Linked DNA regions of Neodiprion lecontei. Each later gene encodes a partner of the first gene's protein in a complex. Links are inferred from orthologs where the notes say so. Each region holds a gene or a part of one and is shown in the gene's direction. Other genes may lie near its edges.

Region 1 (5,938 bases):
TAAAAAAAATAATTAATTTTGACAGTGAAGAAAGATACAAAGTTTGAATTTTTCTTAATTCTAATCACGAAAAAACATCGTCTTACCTTTTGTAGAGTAGAATATGAACATTATTCAGAATATCTTCGTTGGTATAATTTCTTTCTATTAAATAAAAATATGTATCCACCACGTGAATAAATGGTGCATGAAGCCACATTGAATTCTTCTGTAGGGACCGGTGAATAGAAGCTTGAGAGGCGCCTGTGTTTTTACTCAAAAATTGTAACAAGTCTGTACCTTTAGCTCGTACAAGTCCCTCTTCAAGTTGTCTTCAAAAATGAAATAAAAAAGCAGAGAAATAAAGAATTCTTTTTATATTAAGAATAACGGAGTAAACTTTGATAGTGAAAAAGTGATGAAGAACGAATTATTTCACTAACCTATTGAAATAAACGGAACTAGAGCTAAGCGTAAAAAGGCTGATGCTCTTCACATTATGCTCTTTCATGAACTGTAAACGATCTTTTGCTTTTCGTAAATATAGAATTAAGAGCAATAAGCGTTGATGATCCAAAAAACCTCTTAATTCCGGTATGCTCTGTATCTCTTTCAGTCTAGATTCTATGGTTTCCTTCGAGAGCAATAATATAGTAGGATATACTTTTAGCGCAGATTCTGTCACACCGTGTTTTTTAAGAATCTCTAACCTTGCAGGGATCAGGTCTGCCTTTACGTCCAAAAGTTTTGGATTTTTAATTAACAAAGGCTTCATATCACTGCCAGCAACTTGTTTATACGTCGTCAGTAACTGCTTGATATTTGTTGCGTCTGCACGAAGTAGAAAATTAGCTTGCTTTATCTATGGAAAACATAAATATAATTATTTACTATAAACAATTACTAATGATACCCGAAAAATAATTCAAAATTGACGTTACCTTAGCTTTAGAAAATTCGAGTTCATTCTCTAGACAGTCGATTACTTCTTCGATCGATCTTATAGAGAAATAACGAAACTTTTGTATAACTGCTGTTAATTTACTCAATTCCTTTTCAGTGTACTCCAGCCGCCACTTGAGATAATGCTCTAGGCAAATGGAGCGATATGTGTGAATAGAATTACTTTTTTTTAGTGAATCTAAGCATGGAACATCTGGCGGTGGTTTATTGAGAACACTGAAAATATTTTTCGCAATGTCAACATCAGCCGGTAGCAGATTCCAGTCCTGAAATTGTTGAAGACTGTATTCACAGCCTGTCATAAAACTGGAATACACAAGACTGAGGGTGAGAACTTCTGATATAACAGACATTAATAGTTAATAGTTTAAGGTATTTACTCGCGTTATCAAGTGATTCGAATGAAGTCATAATGAAAGTTGCATATTGTCACATTCTCAAGTATTTACTTACGGTTTTAATATGTTTGCTAATAATTTTGTGCAACCCAATTCTTGAAAGTAAGTTATTCTTCGCTCCAAAGTGGATGCTTTGAGAGATATTACTCCTATAATGTCCTTCACTTCGTTGCCAATTCCATATTTCTGTGTGTGGTATTTGCCTTTTTAATATGAATCAATATACGGTACTTATCGTCTTTTTATTTATTAATCTTGTCGCTCATACTCACCAAGCAAAGTGCGTAGGTTTCGGCGATTTGTTCGTTTGGAACCATGCGCAAGAGTTGATTTGCCTTTAAATAATGCCGTGCTTCTCTTGTGTCAATTTTCAATAACTTAACCAAAAATTTCATCTTTTCTACTGTGGCATTAGTTGTTGAATTATTGCATTGATTTTCTATCGTTGCTGAGATCTGTGTCATCTTTGTCACATGGAAGATAGTCGTTTTTAAACACTGTTGATTATTTGTAAGCCAATTTTTCAAAGTAAATCTCAGCATGATTTTATTTTCATCTCTGAATCTATTCCATCCGTGATTTAATGCCGCACCGGTGTTACGCTTGATACTTCAGGTATCGTTCTTTCGTGATGCCCTCGAGTAACCATATTCGGCGGGCCAAGTATTGGTCGGTAATTCAGACGTTCCCTGTGTTCGACGGTGAACGGAGACGTGATTGGAGTATTTTGTCCAATTTCGTCGACAAAGACATGTCTCTTTCTAACGCATCAATGGTAAGGAGCGTACTTCACGGTGAAGTTCTTACAAGCTCAAGTACTCTGAAGGTGAGTGCAGTTAAGCGGAAAACAGTGTAGACAACTCTGCAGACCCAAACATACATTGTTGTCGGCTATTTGAGCAGCGATAACCGGCAGTGTGATGTTGGCGTCACTAGATTCAAAATTCCGCCGTTACATCAATTGCGAACTAAGAACGCCATCAGTAACGCGTGTATCAACAACGTGTGAAATGTCAGTGAAACTCTGAGTAAATAATTCTATTCTAAAATGCGGAGCGCCATGCCCGAATTTGTGATACCGTCCGACAAGGATCAACTTCTTCAGACCCAGCCGGGAAAATACTCCGTTAGAAATGTATATCCGCTTCGGGACATACAAAACATTCTTGCTGGTATGTTATCATTATATTTTAGTCAAATTCCACTATTAAATATTCATTCCGGGTTTTGGTTTTTTTTCTGTCTTGTTTGTTGCTGTAATTTTGTGATAATTCTATTACTTGATAGTCCACCGCTGTAATTACTATTTCAGATACAAATGCTATCCTGCAGGAGGAGGGGCCCAGCTTCTTGCTCGAACACTTCGACAAATTCTTCTCTGTTCTCGTGCACGGCTCAAATTTAAAAATACCTGTTCACCTTTTAGCAGTTGATCGAATCCACAAATGTAAGTATTTCAACTTTCACAACTTTTACACAACAAAACATAATTCTTTACATGTTTTACTTGTTACTTTTCAGGCCTTAAAATGTTTACAAACGAATTAGAAAAGCAGTACGACAGAGGAAGAGAACCAGCGGCAGAAGATAAACCACAACTGCTTACCATCACCAATATGCTCGCTTACCTGTTGTCTAGTTTAATTCGTCACATCGAGATTGTTGTGTCTGAAGAATCTGCTGGCGGAAGTTCAAAGGTGAAAAACGATTTCTACAATTTCAAAACGTTCTCACAAAAACATTATTATAAAAACAGTAAGGGTAAAATATGAAATAGTACTCTGGTTTGTTGTCTGATTATAAAAAACTATTTAAATGTAGCAGCAACCCACAGTACCACAAACATAGCAACGATTTCTTTCAAGAAACTTGAAATCACAAAATTTAAACGTAATAGGTTAAAATTTCTTTTCTTAATCTTTATATTAATAAATCATAATACAAAGAAGCCACAAGATTATTAATTCTGCTTGTAAACCCTGATGTGTAGAACATGGAAATGACTCAAAATTTAGTCTCTTTTATTTTCGTTATTATTTTAGTTATTTAGCAATTAATATATCGTTCACCTTGATTATCTTCCAAAGAAGCGTTAGACGTCATTTTATTAAGTTAGGCAATTTACAAATGACTGCTATGTTTTATATCTTGCATAAGTTTTTGTTTTTATGTAATCTGCATCTACATCCAATCGCTCAGTTATTGTGTTTTTAATCTCTTGTTTGTCTTTGAAATTTTGCTTTAGCAACGGAAGAAAGTATCATCGAAAACGGATTGGGAACTCAAGTGGTATGATCAAATCGATGAAATTTTGGTACAGATATATCACTGGATACAATTGCCACTTGAAAAACTTTGGCAACCGCCAATAGCTGATGGGAGTTTTATCAAGTTAGTATTTCTTAGTCACAGGTTTATTTGGAAACTCCGAAAAAAATGAAAACTCTAAGCATGTCTTGTTAGAGAACCAATTGTATATTCTAAAATCTTTTATTGTCTAGGTGCATTTCAGAAATATGCTACAGGGTTCTAGAAAGATGCAAAAATGTCAAAGACAAATCTGTGCGGGAATCAATCTTCCAAGTGAGTTTTCATGGACAATATACAATTAATTCAATGCTTAAAGAACCTGTAAACCAGGTATTCACTGTTACTGAATATATTCTGAAAGTTATGGAGTCTTTGGCATAACATAGAAATATTTCAATCACTTACCCCTACTTTATTAAATGCTCATTATATCTTTGACGAATTGCTGAAAATATTTTTTTTCAATTTTCTACCAGCTACAGTGAATAATGAGTTTCGTAAAGTCTATTGAAAAAATAAGCTCTTATGAAATTTTGTATAGAAACTCTAGATTTGCAGGTTTAATTTTCTCTGCTATACCTACTATTTGAAAATTTTAAATCTGATTCCAGTTCTGAATACTAATTATCACTGGCAATGTCTAATCTCATTTATTTCAGATACTGGGGACTCTAGTAAAGCGGTACAACCATAGTATATCCTTTGTAATAAAAGTAGTTCAGGTTAGTAGCCTAAAGAAAATTCTTTACCTCAAGTTAACTAGAAGTATGCAGTTAATCCTGATGAAAAAATGTTTCCTCGGAATTAGTTGGTCAAAATGTGCGATGGACTAGCAGTGTATTTGGCAACTGGTATAATAGAAGTTATTGAACAAACCAAATGCACCGGTATCATTAAGGAGATACTGCGTGAAGTTGACCGAGCAACCCCAGAGGAAGGGGGGACGCGTAACATTGCGACTTTCCTTGACGCAATTGCTTCGTCAAAACCAAACCTCATATTACCAGCTGTTAGCAACTTGACTGACCATCTTGCAAATGAGGTATAACAGAGATCAGTGTAAATGATTGGTGAATTTTCTATGTTCAGATTTCGTGCAACACTTTCTTTGCTTTATAGTGCTACCTAATGAGAAACTGTGTGATTGGTATACTGGGAACGATAGTGAAAGAGATTCTAACGTCTGAAGATCTATCTGAAGATCAGAAGACAACACGAGACGAGTGTTTGGAGAACCTTATGGATCATTTGTTGGACACAAACGCGTTTGTTAGATCCAAGACTCTTCAGGTCTGGCAATATCTTTGCACAGAAGGTGCCGTGCCCTTAGTAAATCAAAACGCTCTTCTTACGGCGGTAATTCACCGATTAAATGATAAAAACGCGATTGTTCGCAAATATGCTTTTCAATTACTCAGAACTTTGTTGCAGTGCAATCCATTTGCTGGAAAAGTAAGTTTCTCTTGTCTTCTGTCTTCCATTGCCTAACATAACACTGATTTTGATAGATGATCTAATCATTACTTTACTTGTATTAATATTCGTTCTTTCCAGTTCAACTTAGACAAGTTGACACAGCAGTTGGCAGATGCAAAGAAAAAACTCAAGACTCTGAGAATAAGATTTGCAAGTATTAGTGAACCAGGAGCGAAGATTAGAGTAGACATTTGGAATGCGCTTGCCCCAAGCATCCAAAGTGCTATATCAAACATATGTGTCGAAGGTAATACCCTATCAAATGTATTTTTCTGGCCCTTTATAAAGGTGGCTAATCTTACAGAGCACATGGAATGCGAGGAGGATATTCTTTCTGAACTGGATTCTCGCTTTGAAAATTTGAGACAGCTACTTTTTCAAGAAAAAATCCGCGAAGCACTGGAACAGCTAATGAGTTTAAGTGCAAAATTGCCAGAAAGTTTTCCCATCGATACTATGACCCCTGAAAACAAAGAAGAGTTCCTAATGTCTGTACTGCACAAAGTATTCATAGATTCGCAAGAAGTTCAAATAGTTACAGAAAATCAAGGGAGTGGCGATATTGATCAACAAATGAAGGAATATGAGAAAGAGAAGGAAACGAGAAAAGAAGATTACGCAACTCAAGCAAGATTGGTGGAGTATATTAAGGTAAAGTACATAAATATAGACAATTAATATGCAAACACCATGTAAATAATTGGATGAGGAAACTTACCAGCTTCTCCATTTTAGAACTGTTTAATCTTCGCTACTGAGCTTTCTAAGGCGATACCTGTAGCAGAAATACGATTGTCCTCGATCTCATCGAG
Region 2 (6,154 bases), on another chromosome or scaffold:
CAAAGCAGCACTGCAGAATGCGTTTTTTTTTTTTTTTTTTTTTTTTTTTATATACGAAACGTAGGCGGGTATGTAGGCATTATTCCAGATATCTCAATGATCGTAAAAAATTTGCTCGACCAGAATTTCTAAGTTGTTGGCGGCTCCTTTGCACCATTTCACAGTAAATATCATCCGATCGGCTTGAAGGATGCAAAATGTCGTTCTTCTTGAATTCCGTGTAGCAAAGAGAATTAGCTGATAAATATCCAACGATGCTCTATGCGGCAGGGTATAAATAATGTAATTGTGTAAAATACTTAAAAGACTAGGGCAAACTTAGTTGCTATCACCTGCAGAGTAGGCAGAAAAAAAAAAAATATATTCGACTTCATATGCTAGATCATGATCCATATTATGAAAGCTGGTCGTTGGTTGATTTCCCATCAATAGAAGTTTCTTCTTTGCTGATCGGCTTGCAGGCGAAGAGTTCTTGCCAGCATCCCGTTGAGACAGTCTCAACCACCCAGATGATCGAAAGAACGTATGTATCCTCTCCAAATCCATAGGGCAATGTTGCAGGTTGTGCCATAAGCTTTTGCATCTCATGATGCTCGTCGCAGTTCCAGTAAGTTTCGGTGCAGGAATCTCAGTAACGAGATTTAGAGAGTTGGAAGAACGTCCGAATGATTTGATGATCGTAATTTTCTACGTCTTCGGAAGACTTATAACTAGTTCTCTTTACATTACAACTACTTAAATGTTACAACTGTGAATAAGACTTACCCTTGCGCCTGTCGTGAGTTTCCGTCTGAAAATAGAGCATGTCAAAATTTAGACTAGTCGATTGGAAATGTCAAAGAATTTGGATACAATTGTAAATGAATAACTACAGAAATCAACGAGGAGTAAACAGTAATCATACCTCTTCGGCAAGGAGATTCTCTTCGTCTTCGCCAATTGTCAGATTAATCGAGTCCTCGTTATCAATTCCGTTTGCTTCGACAGCGGTAGGATTGGACAGAACTGGTGGTGGGCTTGATTCAGTCTTAACAGTGTTATCGACATCATTTTTATCATTCTGATCCTCATCTGCTTCGTTTTCGATTTCTTCTTTTGGCTCTTCTTTTTTGACCTCTTCATTTTCAATATCTTCCTTCTTAGTAACCACTTTGTTCATGTCCTCCATCTTGATATCCTCTTTTTTGATATCTTCCTTCTTAATATCCACAGCCTTGACTCCTTCATTCACCTTGTCTTCTTCTTGTTCCTATTGAGTAAAATTGGTTATGCCAGTTTGCAGATGCGTTGAGGACTAAGATTGGCCAAAAATTATTTAAAGCATCAGTTTGAAAAATTCTATCTTGATTTCTATATCACCTTCTTAACTTCCTTCTTGACTACATTCTCAGAGATTTCTTCACTAGATGGGGGTGACGTCTCTTCTTTGATCTTCATTTCTGAGTTTGCTTGATTTTCCAAACTTTCATCTTTTCGATTATCAGACCCTTCCAAAGATTCTTCTTGGCCAGGTATGCCGGTTACTAAAAGTGCAAAGTGATCCCATGCAATAGTTACTTGAAATAAGGAAATAGACTGTAACAGCAGACATCAGGGCTAAAAATCTCACCACTGTTTTTTCTTGGTATAACCTTGTTAGGTCCACCACTCGGTACAATTAAATACTCGTCAGGTTTGCCTCCTTCCTCTGTGATCGCCTGTCAAAAATATCAAAGATACGTGATACAAACTATTTTGAAAAAAGGATAAACACCATTGTGTATCAACTTCGTCTCGAGGAGTGGGAAAATATTCAAGATAAACAGCACGTCGGGCCACGTGATGAACAAAATAATGACTCAACGAAGAGTGGGTAACAATCGTTGTTATTCAAATACGCGCTCATCGAGTGAAGAAACTGAGAAATCGAGGAGAAACACCGGGAACCATGGGAAAGTGGTTTATCTCTATAGGCGAAGACAGAAGTCCTGAGCAGAGGGAGTAAACGCCGGCTGTTATCGCGTTACGGCTGAAAATAGTTGAGGCAACACGAAAGGCGATAACGCATAATAACGAGACCGAGGTGACAAAAAAATCAATAGCATAAAAATGGCGTCTCACGCGTAACGTTTGCCGGACGATTCGTCATCCCACGCCCGATTTGATAATCGGTGTAGAGATTGGGGATCTTTATAATTTAATAGCAACTGTTCTTTTACCTTCGACAAGCGTTCGAGAAGAGCAGCTTTATTGCCAGTCTTGTCAAGCCCGCGTCTCTCCAGCTCGGTTTTCAGATCGATCACGCGTAGCTCGACCAACTTTTTCCCCTCTGTTTCGGCCATTGCTTGCAGCTATCCGTACAACTTTGAAAACGTACGCGGATGCTGATCTATACCGGAGTTTGATTAATGACGTGTCACGGTCTCGGATGTTGACGTTTCAACTTTTCTCTGTTATATCACCTAATTAATACTCTGTGCGGCATATCAATCTTGGCATATTACAATGGTGAGACACTTGTCGTTAACCCAAGATTGACACTGGCGGGCAGCGGTCACTAGTTCACGTAGTTCAGTGACAAACCGGAAACGGTGCCGTCGCCATTTAATACCTCGCGTTACGAACACGAGGCGTCACTAGTGCAGTGGAGTAGTATTTAACCTTGGAGCATGTACTATCTAGAGAGAGCAAACCATTCTCTCGACATCGCGAAAAATGCAGCCGAAGTGATGAGAGAGAGAGAAATATATATTAGGGTTACTCCGTCTCTTTCACTCTGCATTTGATGACTGAGAGAAAATGTATCGAGCAAACAAGAGTGGAGCAGGAGAAACAGATTGACATGTATGTCCACTGTATTTATGTAGAACTACATTTCAGTGAAAGCAACACGTACCTCTTTTTCTCACTTCTCCGCTGCACTTTCTGTACACGCGAAGCTACCTCCAGCAGCTCTAAAAGTAACGAAACAAAGTTTTTTGCTCGCTATTGGCATCCAATTTTCCAAACTGACATATAATCAATCTTTGAAAAAAGATAAGGAGAATTTCTCTTTACGTAATAAGATTAATTTATTGTACATACATACACAAAAAATATCGTACATTACGCAATAGAAGATATAATAATATAGGGTTCACAATGTAGATTTCACAATTCTAAGTCAAGAAATCTGACTACATCTGTATTTTGATTTTCGTAACAATGTACAAGATAGAACGTAAGTAAAAAAAGGGAATAGTGAGTGCTTCTTTCTGACGTTTATTAATTTATTTATCAAAAGTTTAATTTCTCTCGAATTGAATTTACTTCGCATATTGTGCGTGAAAAAAAGAAGAAAACACTTTTTGAAGAAATACAATATATCATGCATGCTGATCTCTTACATCTGGTAATCGTCTTCGGGTTATCGAAGCGTTTCATCCATTATTCATATTATTGGTACTAGTGCCCAGAGTTGCTTACTGGACGAACCAACACATGTTAAATATGTGAAGTAAAACTGAAACCTTATATTTTTTCGATGTATAAATCTAGGGTTGATTATCCTTTTGAAATTGTTTTTGACATTCTTATTATGATGCATGCTTTAAGCAACATGCGAGATGGTGTAAGTACAAATTCCTGTTCTTGCGATGCATTCGGCTATATCATTCCCATTGTCTCGTCTCGTTCCGCTTTTCTGCGATTGTCTGAAAAAAAAAAAAAAAACATTCTTTCACCTCCAGATTTAATTAAAAGAAATTTCAAAACTTTCCATTAAAATCTAAGGTTGAAAACTGTTTTGCTGTATTAAAAATACCTCGTGATTGATTCAGTGGCGGCAATAGCAGCAGCATGCTCAAGACGTGAAAGCGAATTATCTAGTTGGATTTTTTGTCATCCAGAGCTTCTAGTCGCTCAAGTAACGGGGGATGAGAGTGATGCCATCCTGAATAGAGCTTGTCAAATACAGGAAAACCCAGATTGTCTTTGTGCAATTTAACTAGTGCACTTTTCAGGGGGACAGTGTGTCCTAAGGTCTTTGCAAAATTATCTGCTTGAAATTCAAACTTCCGGCTGATCACAACGGAGACAAAGCCCATTAACTGAAAAAAGTACATTTGGACCAGGTGTGAATGAAGTCGGAAAAGAAAAAGGATTACGAGAGAGGTTAATGAGATTAATATCAAACGACAGAAAATAATCGAATTAGTTACCGTATTTAGCGGGATCAGGATGTACATCATTACGATAATTAATCCAATGAATATTGGCTGCGAATCGCTGAATCCGAATGCAGTGTACATTGGTTGATAGTTGAGCAGTTTAGCAAAGATAATGAATATTAATAGAATGTTGACCTGTAATCAAAGAATGCACGATCAAAATTAGAGCGAGCTGTGAAAGAGAAATACCTAAATACACTTTAGTCTTACCTGAGACAGTACAAGACACTTGAAGGTGTGATTCAACTTCCAGTGACCAAGTTCGTGGGCTAAAACGGCCACGACTTCGTCAGTTTCACAACCTTTGTCTTTATCGGTGTCATTGGCGTCTGGTTTATAATATTCTTTGACCAGGGTGTCGAATAGGACAATTCTCTTGTGCTTGTGAAAACCGTAAAGGTACGCATTGCTGTGAGAGGATCGTTTGGATCCTTCAACAATGTACAATTTGTACAAGGGAAAACCAAGGGATGATGCGAGCTCTTCAATTTTTGTTCTAAGCTCTCCTTCGGGCAACGGAGAGTACTTGTCAAACAATGGAGCTATAACCTCTGGGTATATAATCAGCATAAACAGAGTTACAATGCCGGTAAAGACCCACAGATATACAAAGAAATAATCTCCTCCTATTTGAACTATCCAAACTACTCCGCATTTCAGCGGAATCACAATTATTTGTAGCACGATAAATTTCTTTATCTGGTCCTTTATATAGAATGAAACAGTCTGAAAAAGGATAAATATTTTTATTGCTTGTGAATTCAGATGAAACGTAGCACAGCTTTTGGAGCACATTTGTCAAGCTTGACTAGTTATTTTATAAACATTCTTACCTGCTTATTGAACCCGTGCTTGTTTTCAAGCCAGAATGTATTGTAGACAGAAAATGGCAGGTCAACGATAGTGCTAAGGATGTTCATGATCAGCATGCAAGTACCGCCAATCAGTATTTCGTTATGCTTGCTAATTCCGCACGCGGTAGAAATTTTCACCGCCCAATCCCAAAAATGACGGAAGGCAAAAAACAGTATCATCCCCTGAAGATGATGAGTTTTAGATGCATGAACAACCAGAAGACAAATTAAAATTGCTTGCTTATACCCACCGTGGTGACGAATGTCGAAAACAGACTTTTGATGTTTGAAAAATAATTGCAATCGATGGCGTAGAGGCGTGCCTTATTATAAACCTCCGGCGTGATGAGGTCCTTCAGTTCGCCAGGGACGTCAACAAGTTTGTTCATTAACTTTGTCTGCAGGGAATAATCATGCAAATCATTTTAAGAGACTGAGGATCCAGTCACCCTTGGAATGCTTTGAAAAAACTGTTCCTAAGGGTGATGAATTTAATTTGAGGGTGGTACCGCATTGCGTGTCACTTAATAAGTCGAAAAATTGGGAGGTATAAACAGGGACTGAAAGCTAACCTGGCGAAGACTGAGATAAAACTTCCAGGACCAGAGAATCCATATTAACGCGAGCAGCTCGCATCTCAGGTTTTCTCCAACGAATTGTTCAATGGAAGATGACATGGCTGTTGTAGTCGTCTAAAAAATCTCTCCGAATTACTCTTGGCGTAAAAAGGACGACACACTGTGTTTCGCTGGTCTCATGTGTGTTCCCGGCCTATAGTCTCAAACACTAATATATATCAGTGTCAGTGGTCTCAAATCACAAATTGGAATGAATGATGCGACAGTAGACAGACTTGAAGTTGTCTCTCTCGATTTTCGATATATCCAACGTCTTGATCCAAAGATGTCGCGGGAAATTTGAATTCGACGTAGTCGCAACGTTTGGGCGGTCTGAATTCAATAATCTCGACATATTACAGGAAGTTAATGAACAAAAAAAACTGTAATGATGTTGTCTTTGTTTTTTTTTTAATTCGATGCAAAACACTTATCATAATATCATCCAAAATATACAATAGTACACATCTTTTCTTCTTTCATCGATTCATGATTG

What was found.
Region 2: condensin complex subunit 1 (region 1) and condensin complex subunit 2 share a complex: the UniProt entries of both Homo sapiens proteins name them as parts of the condensin complex. The link is inferred for Neodiprion lecontei from reciprocal best matches to the Homo sapiens genes NCAPD2 and NCAPH.

The regions. Positions count from the first base shown.
Region 1 is NC_060261.1:30,817,221-30,823,158, reverse strand, and holds the start of condensin complex subunit 1, read left to right. Parts: upstream 1-2,127; 5' UTR 2,128-2,388; coding exon 2,389-2,512; intron 2,513-2,652; coding exon 2,653-2,787; intron 2,788-2,861; coding exon 2,862-3,037; intron 3,038-3,585; coding exon 3,586-3,731; intron 3,732-3,841; coding exon 3,842-3,923; intron 3,924-4,309; coding exon 4,310-4,372; intron 4,373-4,458; coding exon 4,459-4,692; intron 4,693-4,769; coding exon 4,770-5,102; intron 5,103-5,204; coding exon 5,205-5,373; intron 5,374-5,430; coding exon 5,431-5,777; intron 5,778-5,861; coding exon 5,862-5,938. Other genes in the region: transcription termination factor 5, mitochondrial, read right to left, coding at 87-311, 423-841, 921-1,248, 1,396-1,526, 1,613-1,882. UniProt on the Homo sapiens protein: Regulatory subunit of the condensin complex, a complex required for conversion of interphase chromatin into mitotic-like condense chromosomes.
Region 2 is NC_060262.1:1,186,353-1,192,506, forward strand, and holds the start of condensin complex subunit 2, read left to right. Parts: upstream 1-2,669; 5' UTR 2,670-2,939; intron 2,940-3,545; exon of another isoform or gene 3,546-3,671; intron 3,672-3,781; exon of another isoform or gene 3,782-3,842; coding exon of another isoform or gene 3,843-4,067; intron 4,068-4,178; coding exon of another isoform or gene 4,179-4,322; intron 4,323-4,397; coding exon of another isoform or gene 4,398-4,913; intron 4,914-5,020; coding exon of another isoform or gene 5,021-5,224; intron 5,225-5,292; coding exon of another isoform or gene 5,293-5,439; intron 5,440-5,613; coding exon of another isoform or gene 5,614-5,718; exon of another isoform or gene 5,719-5,908; intron 5,909-6,052; exon of another isoform or gene 6,053-6,154. Other genes in the region: SAFB-like transcription modulator, read right to left, coding at 766-790, 905-1,249, 1,360-1,523, 1,610-1,697, 2,199-2,321; CAAX prenyl protease 1 homolog, read right to left, coding at 3,843-4,067, 4,179-4,322, 4,398-4,913, 5,021-5,224, 5,293-5,439, 5,614-5,718. UniProt on the Homo sapiens protein: Regulatory subunit of the condensin complex, a complex required for conversion of interphase chromatin into mitotic-like condense chromosomes.